2 linked regions of the Struthio camelus genome follow. The protein of the gene in region 1 interacts with the protein of each later gene in a biochemical or structural test. Links are inferred from orthologs where the notes say so. Each region holds a gene or a part of one and is shown in the gene's direction. Other genes may lie near its edges.

What was found. The genes of interacting proteins can lie anywhere in the genome.
Region 2: the proteins of PTPN11 (region 1) and tyrosine-protein phosphatase non-receptor type substrate 1-like form a complex in vitro, tested with the Homo sapiens proteins (2 studies listed by BioGRID). The link is inferred for Struthio camelus from reciprocal best matches to the Homo sapiens genes PTPN11 and SIRPA.

What each region holds. Positions count from the first base shown.
Region 1 is NC_090958.1:18,559,360-18,567,153, forward strand, and holds the start of PTPN11 (tyrosine-protein phosphatase non-receptor type 11), read left to right. Parts: upstream 1-4,611; 5' UTR 4,612-4,808; coding exon 4,809-4,822; intron 4,823-7,794. Other genes in the region: RPL6 (large ribosomal subunit protein eL6), read right to left, coding at 77-229, 714-898, 1,241-1,289, 2,379-2,522, 3,069-3,167, 3,275-3,496. UniProt on the Homo sapiens protein: Acts downstream of various receptor and cytoplasmic protein tyrosine kinases to participate in the signal transduction from the cell surface to the nucleus. Positively regulates MAPK signal transduction pathway. Dephosphorylates GAB1, ARHGAP35 and EGFR.
Region 2 is NC_090959.1:18,179,263-18,186,410, reverse strand, and holds the start of tyrosine-protein phosphatase non-receptor type substrate 1-like, read left to right. Parts: upstream 1-4,010; 5' UTR 4,011-4,056; intron 4,057-7,148. Other genes in the region: signal-regulatory protein beta-1-like, read right to left, coding at 83-149. UniProt on the Homo sapiens protein: Immunoglobulin-like cell surface receptor for CD47. Acts as docking protein and induces translocation of PTPN6, PTPN11 and other binding partners from the cytosol to the plasma membrane.

The sequences.
Region 1 (7,794 bases):
TACTGTGAACTGCAATGAAGACACCAGAAATTCTTGCATTTTTCCCCTCAAATTTAATGCGGTGTTTTCAGAACAATTAGAACACCAATTTGTGAGGATAAACTCCATTTGAGAGAGAAAATGTAGACCGCAGGTACCCACGGAGCTGAGGCACCTTCTTGATTCTTGCCAGGATCTGTGAATCCACTGCCTTCTGGTCTGACTTGCGTTGCTCCGTTATCTCATATTTCTAGAAAGAACACGGAATAATATTAAAATACTTGCAGAATGACTTCAGACTCATCTCTGGAGCTAAGAGTTCAATGCAAGCCCTGAGCTCTTGGCACCTCAAGAAAGCTTCTCTGCATTTGTTCTAAATATGGGAAAGGTGGTAGGAGACCGGAGATGGCAGAGGGGACTGAAGCCACCGTTTGGCTTAGGTTACAGATGATCAGAGCCAGCAGCACACTGTTGGCAACATCAAAATAGCAAAGGTGTTTCGCAAACAAACAAAACCCACCAATATTCAATTAGATTAACCATGGCTGCTATTCTGCTAAAGGTAGAAGCAAGAGAGTGCCCTATTAATTCATTTTAATGGCATTACCTCACTTTACTGAAGACCACTTAAATGAAAATTAAAATTGTCCGTTTGTTTCACAAAATTTTCCCCCTTCCAGCCTGGCTTTAAGTAACAAGGACACGTGCAAAGAACGATCAACTGAATTCCTTACTTCTTTTTCAGTGTCAAAGATCTCGCCTTCCTGGTGCTTGGGCTTACGCAGCCTCTTCTTCTTAAAGTATGCATCAGTAAGATGTTTGGGAATTCTCACTCCAGTGATATCAACCTTGGTAGATGTAGCGATAACAAATTTCTGATGGGCCCTACGCAGAGGAACACGGTTGATAACCAAGGGTCCTAAAGGCAAAAGAAAGAAAAGATACAAAAGGTCATCTTTTTTGGCAACAGCCACCACTTCTAAGGTTGAAGTTCTGTGGCGTATAAGTTTTACGGAGATGCTCACAGTTAAAATCTGAACAGTCAAAGCCCTTCTCCATGGCTGACCAAAAGGCTGAAAGATGCTTCCTGATCTATTCCAGATTTTCAAACTTTCCACCTCCCCAAGATTCACAAACATGATTCCACATAGTCAGATGAACACATACCTTGCCAAACCATCCATATAGCAGTCTCCAACACTACCGATACCAGAAACAAAGTTGGACTAAAAACGGATTTGACTAAAAAAAAGTTTCTTACCTGTAACAAGCAACAGGCCAGTAGCAAGCTGCTTCAAGAAGACCACACGCTGAAAAGAGATGTGACATTAGTCCTCAGGTCCAAGCATTACATCTTCTTTGATGCTTGGGAAATACTGCAACCAAACTGGGACCGTGTCTACACTCAGCCCATATTACTGGTACATGCATTGACAAAGCATCGAGGCACAGATGTAACTATACTACATGAGGGGCAGCCATCCACATAAGCCACGCTATAAATGTTTCACAAAGGGCAATTCTGCCAGCGTTACTGCATCTGTGACAGACTGCAGCTCTCTATATGCTTCACCATTTAATACTGAGCAAAGCCAATTAGTACATTGTCAGATCTTTTGCCTATTCCTGCACATTCTACAGTATGGTGAGACAGCAAAACTGTCACTCAGCTTCTCTGAGGACCCAAGTAAAGGCAAGAACTAGATTAAAAAAAACAGAAGGGGATCACAATATATCATCAGACCTGTCCCACACTGGGATTTTATCTCTTTCTGATCTAGGATGCTAGGTTTCCTTCCCTGAACAGCATTCTTTTAAGTGATGTGACAGTGAAGCTGAAGAACGCAAGGAAATAAAGGGTGTCAGTTAAGACCTGCTAGTAAACGTCATTAAGACATGCAACACAGCTTAATGTAACAATCGAGTGTTATCTTCACAATTCAGATTAGGAATAAAAATTCAATTCTTTCTTTGCAATAGCTGGTCAAAGACAAACTTTTGGCCTCGCTGCTACAGTAATAAAAACAGGCATTAAATCTGCTATTATGCAACCCAAAATTAGTGTAACACGAATCTACACACTTTTTGCATTACAGCAAGACTCCCTTAACCTTGTCAGAACAACTGGATTAGCCTGTCTTATTTCCAGCTTTGTATAGTAGGACATTTCTTTAGAGACTATTTCCCTTAAAGGCAGGACAGGAGAAAGCCATCTCTACAGAGTTCACAGAACCTAATTAGAGTTGCAAATTCCTTTCTTCTGGGGGCTGGAACAGCATCCCATGAAATCAACTGGTACATTCGAGTTGCCTCTGCTTATTCAAAGAGATTTCAGCACAAAACTGCTGCAAAGCCACCATGAGAGCCATGACAAGAACATGGAAGAAGTTCCAGGTTACCTTGCCTCTATGACGACCAGTCAGAAGGATCAGAACAGTTCCTGGAGTAATAGAGGCACGCAGCTTCCTCTTGTGTTGACAAAAGGGCTTTTTGCCATGACTCAAAAGTTTGCGAGGAACATCCTCAGTTGGATAGTATCTTGGCTAGAAAAAAAGGAGCAAAATATTTTAACCACCCCATATCCCATGGGATAGCCAGCTTTCACTACAATTTCAATTATTACCCCAAAGATGATCTTTCTGAAAGATACCTTTTGCTGCTTATGGCACTTCAGGAAAATACTGAGTATTTTCTTTCAAGTTACATAGCTGCAAAAATTAAGACCAACGCTGTTTTTCTAAGCATTCTTCCAATTCAGTGCAGCAATACAGATGGCAGAAGATGACCCGCTCTTGCCTGCTAATCAAGCTTTGAATTACAGGCATGTCTCCAGGGAACTAGAATCAATAGAGCTGTTATCCCAAGGAGATAACTGGAAACTGTTCACTGTTACATGGCAGGGGTTGAAGCTCTTGCTGGGTGCACTAGGACTGCTAGGTTACGCTATCCAAGATGCACATCGTCTAGACGAGATTTACACAAACACAGTACACATAACAGCCCATAGCAGCCTTAACTGCGAGCATCTGAGTTCATCAGCACAACTCATCATCTGCTGAGAGCAAGCTTTTTCCCTGGCACGTTCTTACCATTTTGCGGACTTTAACCACACGGCTGCCTCCATTCTTATCTCCACCAACTGGTTTGGTGATGGTTGCCGGTGGCTTTTCTTTCTTTTTCTTTTCTATCTGTAGGCAGAGAAAAAGGGAACGCAAAGAACATTTCAAACCAAAGTCACTCTGAAAAGCTATCAGACAGTACGCTTATTTAAACACGGTATTTCTTGTCCATCTACCTTTGTTTCTGGAGCAGTGTACTTGCGCTTGTACATTGCTTTTCTGGCATACATAGCTGACCGGGAATACCTCCCGATTCCCCGGGCCAGTACAGGGTTGCGGCTGGCATGATGCTTCTTAGGCTTCCTTGTCTTCTCGCGTATTTTCTTCTGGCTTGCCTTCTTCTCACCTGGTTTACTCTCACCTGCCTTTTTATCACCTGCCTTCTTCTCACCCGCCATCTGTGGACCCAAGTAAAATGGAAATTTTTGTGTATTATGAGGCACGCAGAGAAAACATTAACATTGCAAAAGACAAGGATTGGAAATAAAACCTTTAAACCATTCCACTATTTCTCAGGCACCTTTTACAGCAAATCAAGACACCATGGAGTCAAAAACCATCCTGTTTGCTGCCTGTTGGCCCACAACGCAAAAGGCTCTTCTGCACTAATTACACCAGCTACCCATTCCCTCGATACATCCAAACCCTCGAATCCAGAAAGCCCAAGAAGAGGCACACGCACGATGAGGTCGCAGCCACACGGTGCTCGGGACTCCCCCAGAGCTCGGGCCCCGGGGAAGGCTGCCGAGCCCCACCCGCAGGGCGGGCCCCAGCCGGACCCGCCGCGCACGGCCACATCACGGGGCTACGCCTGCTCTCCCCGGGCCCCGGCGCAGCCCTGCACCAGGGCCTGCAGGGCTCCGTCTCCCGGCCGGGTCCCAGCGCCTCCCGCCAGCTCCGTCCCTGCCGGCCGCGGCCCGTCCCAACCTCCGCGCTCCGCCGCGGCCTAGCCGCAGACAGCTGGCCCTCCCACCGCCCCCCCCTCCTCCTCCCCAGCCCCCGTCAGCCCTCACCCGCGCCCCCCGAGGGCACCCGGCCAGACCCCCGGGCCCAGAGCAGCCTGCCGAAGGCAGATGGCGGCAGATAAGGCCCGCCGGGTCCCGGCCCTGCCCGCCGCCGCTCCGCCATTCTTACCTTCCGGGGAGGGAAAGGGACTCACATCCGGGCCACCGCGCCCTAAAGCCAGCGCAGCGCCTGACGTCAGCGCGGCGGCCGCGGAGCACGCCGGGACTTGTAGTCCGGGGAGGCCGGGAGCGGCCGGGGTCTCCCAGGTGGCCGAGGAGGGGGGGACAGCGGGAGGGGCAAGGGCAGGCGGCGGCCGGGGGGCGGAGGGGGCGGCCTCGGCGGCTCCGGGGTGCCGCAGCCCGCGAAGTCGCATCTACTTTCTGTCCTCGGACATCGCATCCCCCCCCCCCCCCCGAAGGCGCTCCCGGGGAACGGGGCTCCGCACAGCCACCCCGGGGGGGGGAGGGGGCGAGCGCTCCCTTTTAGGGAGCCGGCGGACGCCCCGGGGGGGGGGGGTGGAGTCGGTGGCGCGGGTTGATGACGCGTGAGGGCTGCGCCGCGCTCTGTGCGCCTTCGGGGCCTGGAGGCGGCTGTTGTTCGCGCTCCCCCTCAGGGCGCCCCTAGGCCGCGGCCCCCATGTGAGAGGCGGCCGTCGAGGCGGGGGCGGCCGGGCTGCACCGCGACCCGCCGGCGCCGTGGGAGAAAATGACATCGCGGAGGTGAGGCGGGGCGGGGAGCGGTGCCGAGCCTGGCGGCGGAAGGTGGGGGGGTGGGGGAAGAGGGTTGGGGGCTGCCTCTCCGCGGGGCCGCGGCCCCTCAGCGCCCGCCGTGGCGGGGGCCGCCGGGCTCCGTCGCCGCCTCGGCCAGGCCCCCCCTCCCCCCCCCAGCCCCGCTGCCTGCAGCCGCTTCCCCGACAGACCGCGGCGGGGTGGCCCCAGTGCGGCCGCTGCGCGGGTCCGGGCCTGGCCCCCGCCGCGTTTCGCCCTGCCCGGCATCTCGGCACGGGGGGGCCCCCCGGGGCTGGGGGGGGGGGCGCGGCTGGCCTCGGGTCCCGTCGCCCGCCGTGCAGAGGCTGGCGCTGCCGCCGGTAGCAGTGGCGTTTGCAGCCCCCTCCCCGTGCCTTTGAACCCGGCCGAAAGGTGAGTTTTATCGCCGCGGTGACGCGGTCAGTTGCCGGGCTGGGGGCCGAGGGCGGGGAGAGGCGCGTTACCCTCCGTGCCCTGGCGCTGCTGAAACTGCAGCACGAGCCGGTTTGCAGTGAGCGCTGATGAGCTGACCTGGTCGAGGCTCTTGGTTTATTAGCAGCATTCAGTCTAATTTCAGATCCTTGTGGTATTGCTAAATTAGGATGATAAACTTTGGTTGAATTTATTCTCTTTATTTTCGCTTGTAACCTATCCTTAATGTGTTTTGGTGTTGGTCTTATTTTAGCTGTCTGTTTTGGACTGAGAGTTTAAGGTAAATGTTAGATTCCAGCAGAGTGACTGTGATAAAAAGGGCTACAATACTTATGTTCTTATCTAATAGACCTGTTCTGAAACATGATGTGTATTTTCAAACAATATCTATTAAAGAGTAATTTCTTCAACGTTTACTTGTCCTCTTTCTTCTGCCTAAGATGGTAAAACTAGCCTGGTTGGTTTTCAGTTTGTGGCCATTTGGAGTTGATTTTGGGACTCCTGAAACGCGTGGAGGATCTTTAGTGCATGTGTTTTCTGATTGTCCCCACTTACGTGTTAAAATATGTGTACGGATGCCTTTTTAGAAATAGTTGCTACCTTCTCATCAGCAGGTGCAATCCTCTTCTTCTTAGAAGTTTAAATTGTAACTTGTGAAGGAGACCAAGAAAAGGGTTAGAAATATAAGCTGATGAGCCTATAAATAGGATTAATTAAACTACCGGTCACCATCTCTGTGAATGCCACGGTTGTGCCAGCCAAGGCTCAGAACTGGTTTAATCTTGTGCATTCTTGAAAACATGGTTAGAAAAGGTAAATCACGGCATGGAAAAGTTTACTTTCTTTTCTGCCTTAATCTGGTAAACTTTTTTCCTTTCATCTACTGTCCTTTCTGCTCTTCCCTCTCCTCTATGCTGTTTATGCTGTTTCTCTCACTAAAGAAAAATATGTTGGCAATGTATGACTTTTAAAATACACAATCTGCTGATTTTTTTTTTCTTGACTATCCAAGGTGCAACTTTTTTTTTTTTCCCTTAAAATTAATTTGTAGCAAGGCTATGTTTCCTGACATGTCATAGTTCTTTGAAATAGTTCTTTTAGGTGATATCCCTTTATTCTTGTAAATGAGATCTCTCTTTCACTAGTTACTCTTCTAACACTTTCATCTCACTGTAAAACAAGTGACTCGGCATGGTATGCGGCTGCAACCCCTGCATCAGAATTGCTCTAAGTAGTATCTCATGCGTAGTGAGGACAGCTAGCTTAATTAGAGTGTGTATGTATGCTACTTTCTTGGCTGTCATGTTCTTTGCTAGGGATAGCTTCTGCACCTGCTCAGAACAGAGGTTGAAGAAGGAAGGTAGAAAAAGGTCTAAAGTGCATTCCATCCCTATAAAAGGAAGTGTAAGAGAAAGTCCTCTGCAGGGCTTATGTTACTGCTATCTGTGCCTGCAATCCCCTTTGCTCTCCCCTCCAGTTTTGGAAGGGATGTAGCCACCAAGGTTCCAAAGCACATGTGATGGCAGTACTTCAAATGAAGTGATCTTGATCACTGGTCCGGAACCATTTAACAGAGATCACTAACACCCCCATTTTTCTATTTGGGGTGGCTGACAAATGCATCTTCCTACTCAGAGCCAAAAATACAAGGATGAGGGAGCAGGAGTACAAGTTACCATTAGAACAAAAGTTACATAAAGTGCAATAAACTCAGTCAGTCTCCCAGATGTAGCTTTTCTTGTTCTACACTTTAACTTTTTGCCATCTTCAGTAGGAGTGCCTGTGTATGTGGGGGTGAGAACACCTTTTCTTTTCTTTTTTGATAGCAATTTGTCATCTCTGTAATCTGTCTTCTAAGTACAAGTTATTTGTGTTCCCCTCTGTGTGTTAAAATATATATATATTTTGTTATTTTGCATCATTCTAACCAATGAAGTATGGTTACTGCCAGGTGCATTGGGGTTAGGGTAAGACACTGGGGATGATACGTTAATTGAGGTTAATAGAACATTGCCATATAACAAATCTGTAGAGCTGATTCCAGTAAGTTTCCCTCTATCTTTTTATACGTTTCTGGATGTAAACTCAAACACCCAAAGATGTGTCCTGAATCCTATCTGTTTTTAAAACTCTTAGAAACCGTTCCAAAATTTGTCACTTTTTTTTTTTCTAATGGAAGTAAAATTTTCAGGGTGAAAGTGTGGGAAAGATACTATCAGCTTCTCCCCTCCAAATCTATCATATCCCCAAATACATTATTTAATGCTTGGTTCACCCTGTGTACTGATGCTTGTGCTGTTTCTTTTGTGAGACTGTATCAAGGCAAAATATATGTCTCTGTCAGGACACTTCTCTTGACCTTCAGGTAGTCATTAGATAAATGTAGGATTACTTATTGATTCACTTTAACTCCCATTTGCTGTGACAACTTGGAAGTATTTTTTTAATATATTCATTTCATGACCCATACTGTGTAGGCTTGATTTCTTTTTCGGTTGTTCAGTTAAAGATAC
Region 2 (7,148 bases), on another chromosome or scaffold:
CAGGGGAAGGACGGTTCTGCCGGCGGCCAGGGAAGGATGCAGGAGAGCGGGGCGCCGAGGTGGCCCCGTGCCCGACACTCACCCGTGGCTCTGCAGAGCAGCAGCAGCACCAGGCAGGCGAGAGCCAGCGCCGGCGTGGCCGCAGCCATGGCAAGACCCGCGTCCCGCTCCCGACCGGCTCGGCTCGGCTCAGCCGGCTCGGGGGCTCGGGGAGGACTTATCGCAAATGGGGAAGGAAGGTCACGACAGCAGGCGAAGTTCCTCTGCCACCTCCATGCAAGGCCGGAAGGTTTCCAAATCGTTTTCGCCTTGACACGTCACGAGGTTGCGTGCTTGCCAGCCGTCGGGGCTGCAGAGCCGCCGTCCCACGAAGCGGCGCTGCGGCGGGTCTGCAGCCCCGCGAGCCGCCCTGCGCCCGCCGCCGCCGGGGGCCGTGGGCGCCTGCCGCCCCGCGCGGTGTCTGGGTAGAGGGGCCTGGGCAGAGGGGACGGCGGCGTGGTGCAAGCTTCGCCTGCCCGCCGCGCGGGCTCCTCTCGCTGCCGCTCCTCCCTGCAGGCCGGGAAATCTCGCGCGCAGCTCTGAAACGTGCAGCCTGTCCCGAGGCGGCCGCCTTCCTCGCGCTGCGCCTCGGCTGCAGGCTCCGGCAGAGGCGCTCCCCTGCCCCGGCCGCGGCTGCTCCCGGCGCCGGCCGCCCCTGCAGCAAGCTCCGTGCGGGCAGGCTGCGGTGCGCGCAGAAGCGCTTCGACCTCGGATGATGCATCTGAGGGGTTAAGCCCTGCTCTGCTCCCGGCCGGCGCTGCCTCCCGGCGCCCGGGTCCGGCACGCAGCCAGGCAGGCACCAAAAGCGTTAACCGCCCGCGCCCACTCGCTTCCATTTCCTGTGCAGCTTCTCATTTTCCTTCTCCTGAAGTTGGAGCTGAAACTTTCGGTGGCGCCGATGGCTCTGCGGGCGGCCGCCGTGCCTCCCCTCCTCGTGCAGCTGCTCAGCCTGTGCCCGGCCCCGCTGGCGGGTGAGTAGGGCGCAGCGCCCCGGCGCTGCCCGCCGCCCGGCCCCGCCGCTCCGTGCCCTCTGTCCCGAGGGACGCATCGCGCGGCAGGGGACAGCCTCGCTGCCGGGGGCTGCAGGGCTGCGTGCCGTTCCCCGGGGGCGAGGGAGGCGCACGTCTCTGCCGGCGTCCCGGCGCTGCCGGGCTGCAGCATCTCTGCCGTTTCGCCCGGGGCCGGGCGGCGAGGGGCGCGCGGGGTGCCCGGGGGGTTTGGAGGCAGGAGCCGGGCTGCACGGAGAGCCAAATCCCGAGGGCCGGGAAAGGCTGCGGGCCGCCTGCGGGCTCGGGGCCGGCTGCCCGATAAACGCTGCCTGCTCGCGCTGGTGGTTCGCGGCGCGTCCTGGCTCTTCCTCCCCGGCGTTGCTCCTTCGTCTGCCTCTGTAGACCCGGAGCACCTGCAGCATCTCGCGGCAAGCAGCCCCCCGGGTTGGGGGGGGCGAAGGATCTCCCCCCGCCGTCCGCTTTGCGCCTGCCCTCCGCCAGCCCCACTTGGGGCAGTTCGTCCCTGATAGCGCTCAGCGAAAGCGCCGCGCAGGCGCCAGGCGGCTGCGGGGGCTCTGCCCGGGCCGGTGCGAGCGAGGGCAGCCGGCGGCTGCCTGGGGCGCTCACTCGGCCCCGCTGCAGGTGCCGGCGCCCGGGCGGCCGCGCGCGTCCAGCTGCAGCAGCCGCAGGCCGAGGTGTCCGTGTCCGTGGGGCAGACGCTCACGCTGCGCTGCGCCGTCTCGGAGCACGCTGGAGCGGGACCCGTGAGGTGGCTGAAGCCCTCGGACGGCAAGAACCGGACCATTTACGATCAGAAAAGCTCCTTCCCCCGCGTCACGAGGGCGGCGAACGGCTCCAACACAGACTTCACCATCCACATCAGCGACGCCCGCCCCGAGGACGCCGGCACCTATTACTGCGTGAAGCTTCGGCCCGGGTCGGAGGAGCAGGTTTATTGCTCGGGGCCCGGCACGACGGTGTCGGTGCACGGTGAGTCGGCGCCCCCGCGGCCCCCCGCCCCGGCACCGTGCCGGCGCCCGCCGCTGAGGCTCGTGTCCCCGCAGAGAGGGCCCCGTTTCCCAGCGTGGCCGTCGCCGCCGCGGCGCTCTCCATCCTCCTCCTCGTCCTCCTCGTCGCCCTGTGCGTCTACCAGCGGAAGAGGGGAGGTGAGCGGGGCGCCGGGCGGGCTGGCCGGGCGCTGGGGGCTGCCGCGCGCCCCGCTCACCCCTCCTCTCCTTCGCTTGGCAGGGGGCAGCCCCGGCAGCCCCGGGTTGGCACCCGCCGCCTGCCGCCGCGAGGAAACTCTGCCTTCTCCATCTGCCTCCAGGTTTGCACCCGCTTCGGAGACTTGGGTTTTTCCCCCCCCCGGAAAAGAGCTTGCATTCGTCGGCGCGTCGCTGCGCTGCGTCGCTCCCGTCCGCGTCAGCCCGGCGGTAAAACCCGCCAGCTGGCGCCCGGGATGGGCCGGGGGCCGCCGGGAGCCCCGCGGGCCGGGGGGGGCGGCTGCTGGCAGCGCTAACGGCAGTCCTTCTCCCCCAGCAGCCGCGTGCCGGACGCCGAGACCTCACCTCCGCCCGGCCAGGTAGGAGCGGGAGGCGAAGGCGAGGGAAGAGCCTTTGCCAAGGGGGTTTGGGGACGCGGCGGCTCCGGGGCGGTTCGGGGGGCAGCGGCGGCGGCCGCCGGGCCGAGGGGCGGCCGCGTTGCCGAAGGCGCCCGCGGGCTCCTTTGTGCACGGTTCCCTCGCGACGGCCTCACCCACGCGCGGCTCTCGCCGTTGCAGCGGGCCGGCGGGCCGGACGCCGACGTTCACTACGCCGACCTGCGGCACCTGCCGGCGGCCCCGCGGCGGGCGCGCAGCCCCGGCGCCCCCGGCACCGAGTACGCCAGCATCCGGCTAGCTGCGCGGTAAAGCCTGGTCCCCAGCCGCGACGCCCGGCCGCGGGCCCGTGCCGGGGGACGAAGCGAGGACCTTTTCTGCGGGACGCGAGGAAGAAGCGGCAGAGGGGCCCGGCTGGCCCCTCTCGGCCCCTTTCAGGGGCACTTTGTGGCCCCAGGCGGCTCGGCGCTGTCCTGGCGCCGCGGGCCCTTGCTGGCTGCCCCTCCGGCCCCGCCGCGCTCAGCCCCGGCGATGCATCGCCTTTAATAAGGCGTCTGCGAAGCCGCCCCAGCGGCCGGGCGCGCGGCCGGTCGAGTCCCGGGCATTGGCGCTTCCCCACGCCGCCGGCGGCAGCTGCCGGAGCCGAGCAGCTCGAAGCTGGGAGCACGCGGCCGCCGCGCGCCTCCGCGGCCGGGGACGGAGCGCCTGGCCGGCTCGGCCTCCCCGCCGCCAGGCACGGCGCCTGCCGCTGGGCTGAGCACGTTTCCGGGCCGGGAAACCTTGCGCTTCGGCCCGTCGCTGCTGCCTGCGCCCCTTGAAAGCTGTTTGCAGATGCCAACTTCCAATTTCCTTTCTCTGTTTTTTTTTTCTTTTTTTTTTTCTGTGAAATCAAAATAGAGAAGTGAAACAAGACAGCGTGCAGCGTCTGCGTGTGCATCTAGGTACCGGGGGTTTATCTGCGAGCAGAGAGATCCTGCCGACGGGCAGAGCGCTGCCGGGGAGGGAAGCCGCTTACGAAACCCATTTGCATGCGTGTCGCAGGGGACATGTCTTAACACCTGGGCACGCTTTGGGGACATTTCTTTTCTCAGTGGCAGCGCCGAGTCCTGCATGCAGCGCCCCGGCCGCGGGCGCAGCGCGGGGACGTTTGCAAAGGCAGGAGCAGGGCGGGGGCCCCGGCGCCGCGGTCCCGAGCTCCGGCCGCGAGCCCGGACCCAGCCGAGCCCCCGAGCCCCGCGGGGCAGTGGCAGAAGCTGGGCCGCGGCCTCGATGAGCGGCGACCGGTTCCCCGGGCAGGTCAGCAGCTGGCGCGAAGCGCGGGCCGGAGTGCCCCGTGCCGGCGGCCGCCAGCGCCGCGTCCTGGCCGCGGGCCGCCCCGAGGACGCCGGCAGTGGCTGCGTGCCGCACGCCCCAGCGAGGACTGCGAGCAGCGTATGTAAAACCGGCGGCTGAGAGCGAGAGCGGGGAGACACCTCGCCCGCACGGGGCAACGAAATCCGATTTAGGGCGTTTTTCAGCATTGGGCTGGGTCGGGAGGGGGAAAATCCAGCGTGATGAAAGCATATGGAAAGCAGCGAGCGGCGGGCTGGGAGCGCTGTGCACCTGGGAAAGGGCGCAGGGCTGCGGCTTAGTGCCCGGGAGAGGGATTTGGTGGTTATTGTGGGAAAATCCTTTAAGCCAGCAGCCCGGGTGTGCCGGCAGTGAAAGCACAAACAAGCGGCCGAGCAGGTAGGAGCGCGGCCGGGCCGGGGGGCTGGGGCGGCCGGGGGGCAGCGGGCGCGGGGATTTGGTGCCGATGCGGGGCGGTTTTGCCCCAAGCCGGGCGTGGGGAGGGCCGGTGTGAACGCTGCGCAGAGCCGGACCGGGCGTTTACCCTTGGTCCGCTCCCTCCGGGACGGTGTTATCGGCACTGCGGCGGGGGGGAGCGGGTGAACGAACGGGCCGGGAGAGTCCAGCCTCGTCCCTCGCAGCCGGCTGACGGCGCAGGCTGATGCAGCCGGGTCCCGCTTTAGTGGCTGCTTCTGTCCCCGAGACCTGGCGTCCACCCGAGACGCCGCCCGCGCTTTGGATCGCCCCCGGGGCTGCACCGGCGCCGTCCCCGTCCCCATCCTCGTAAGTCCCCATCCTCGTCCCCTTTCCCTGGGGGCTCCCCAGGAAGCCCCGTCCCCGGAGACGTGGGACATGTCCCGCGCCAGGCCGCCGCCGCGCAGCAGCGCTGGCATCCGACGGCACAAGCAGGGCCCCGGCCGGGCGCTGAGACGCTCTGAGGGGATTTCGGAAAGGTTGGGAGGGTCCCGGGGGGTGCTTTGAGCGCCCCTAGGAAAAGCCACGCGGATCTCTACCGGCTCCTGCTGATTTATCCGGGCTGCGCTCCCGCGGGGAGAGGGACCGGAGGCAGAGAGGCCGAGGACGCCGCGCAGCCAGCGCCCGCCCCAATCGCACCGCGCTATTCAGGCGACGTTTCGGGATGCAAACGCTAGCTGGAGAGCTGAACGCGCCCAGCTGGCTCGTGGGGAGCCGCCTGCCGCAGGTGCCCCCCGCCGAGCGCCGGTCCCCGCGGGGCCGTTCGGCTCCCGCACCCGGACCGCCGGAGCGGGCAGCCGACAGCCTCGCCGCCAAATAGGCATGTCGAAAGGGGCATGTTTTTTGGGGTAGGGCCGCCCCGGTTGGCCTTTCCGTGTTTGCACGGTGCCAGACGGGCCAGGGCACCCGGCGATACCCACGGGGATATCCGCGCTCTGGCCGCGGCCCTGCACTGCTGCCGCCGGTGGTCCCCGGTCCCGCACCGCCGCTGCCGCCGGTCCCCGGCCCCGCACCGCTGCTGCTGCCGGTCCCCGGCCCCACACCGCTGCTGCCCCTGGTCCCCGGCCCCGCACCGCCGCTGCGCCGATCCCCGGTCCCGCATTGCCGCTGCCACCACTCCCTGGTCCCGCACCACCGCTGCTGCCGGTCCCCGGTCCCGCACCGCCGCTGCCACCACTCCCTGGTCCCGCACCACCGCTGCTGCCGGTCCCTGGTCCCGCACCGCCGCTGCTGGCTCTCTGCAGCCAGCTGGCCCGTCTCCTGCGCGCCAGCGCGGGCGGCATCGCCTCGGCCGGGCTCCTGCGGGCGTCCCACCGGCCAGGGACGGCGACGCGACCCCGCCAACCTGCCCCTTCTCCGCTCTCTGTTTATCAGGGCAGGATTTTCACGGGGAAGCAAGGAACGGAGCGGAAGTAAAATGGTTACGTGCTTTACGCTGTTACTCATTTCGTGTAGTACGTATTGAATCCTGTTCGCTGGTTTCACGGTTATTGCAGATTTTTATTAAAGAGGATAAACAGTTTGGGGATTCGGGGTTGTCATAGGAACTGCTTTTGTGCCTTGTCCTCACCTCCGGCGCTATTATTCCCCCCAATTTCATGAGTTAGTGAGGGCTCAGCTCTTTCCAGCCCCATGGATGTTTTTCCAGCCCCATAAGCACAGCTTGAGTAAAAAACACTCGTTACGGAGGAGCCGCCGTCTGCCGGGCCGAGGGCGCTGGGCCGGGCGGGGGGCGCTCAGCGCCGCCCGCGAACGGCCCCGCGAGAGGCCCCGGCGCCGACGGGGAGCCCGCGGCCCCGGCACCGCTGCAGCCGGGAGCCAGCGGAGCGCGGCGCCGGGCAGGCGGCCCTCGAGGCTGCCGCGGGGCTGTGCGGACTCTCCGGCGTCTCGTAGCAGGTTGTGCCCAGGCTGCTGCGGCCCCGCCGGGGGGGGATCGCACTCCTGCGCCCGGTCCCGTTTTTGTGAAATCCCCGGCGGCGGCAGCAGCAGGAGGAGGAGGAGGAGGACGGCAGCTGGGCTCTGCCCTGCCCGGCCGCTCTCCGTCACGGGGGGACAGGCAGTGAAAATGAAAGCTGCTGAACACGCTTCCCGCCCAGCGACGAAAGGAAATCCCTTGCGCCCGGCCCGCGTTTAGCCTGCGCGGTCCGTCGCCGCAGGACGTCGGGGAGGCCAGCGCTCCGGCAAGCGCGAAAGAGGGATTTCCCAGGTCCGCCAGACGAACAGGAGCAGCCAGGGCTCAAGAAAGACTCGCCTGACGGGCCGTTGCTCGGGGACGGGGAGGAGGATCCGGCGGCAGCGCCCGGCCCGGGGCCGGCGCCCGCAGAGGAGCCTGCACGGGCCCGAGGGGGCTCCCGCCGGCTCCGGCGCCGTCCGGGTGCCCCTCCGGCCTCGCAGACGCTCCGGCGGGGGATAACGCCGCTGAGCCCCCTCCCGGCTCGCCCCGCCGCTGCCGCCAGCCGGCCCCGGGTCGTCGGGCCCCTCTCGGGCGCCGGAGACCCCCTTACCTCTGTCCTCCTCCGGCTTTCAACCCCGCCGAGTCCCGCGGGAGCGCGCGGGAGGCTGGGAGCCGCCGGCGAGGTGCAGCCAGAGCTGCCCGGGCACCTGCGGCATCCCGCTGAGCGCCTCCGTCCCTGTCCCGTCAGCGCCCTCCCGGGAAGAGAAAGCCCTGGAAAGCTGCGAAGCCGCTGCTTTAAACCCCACTCGCAAGAATTTGGGAGACT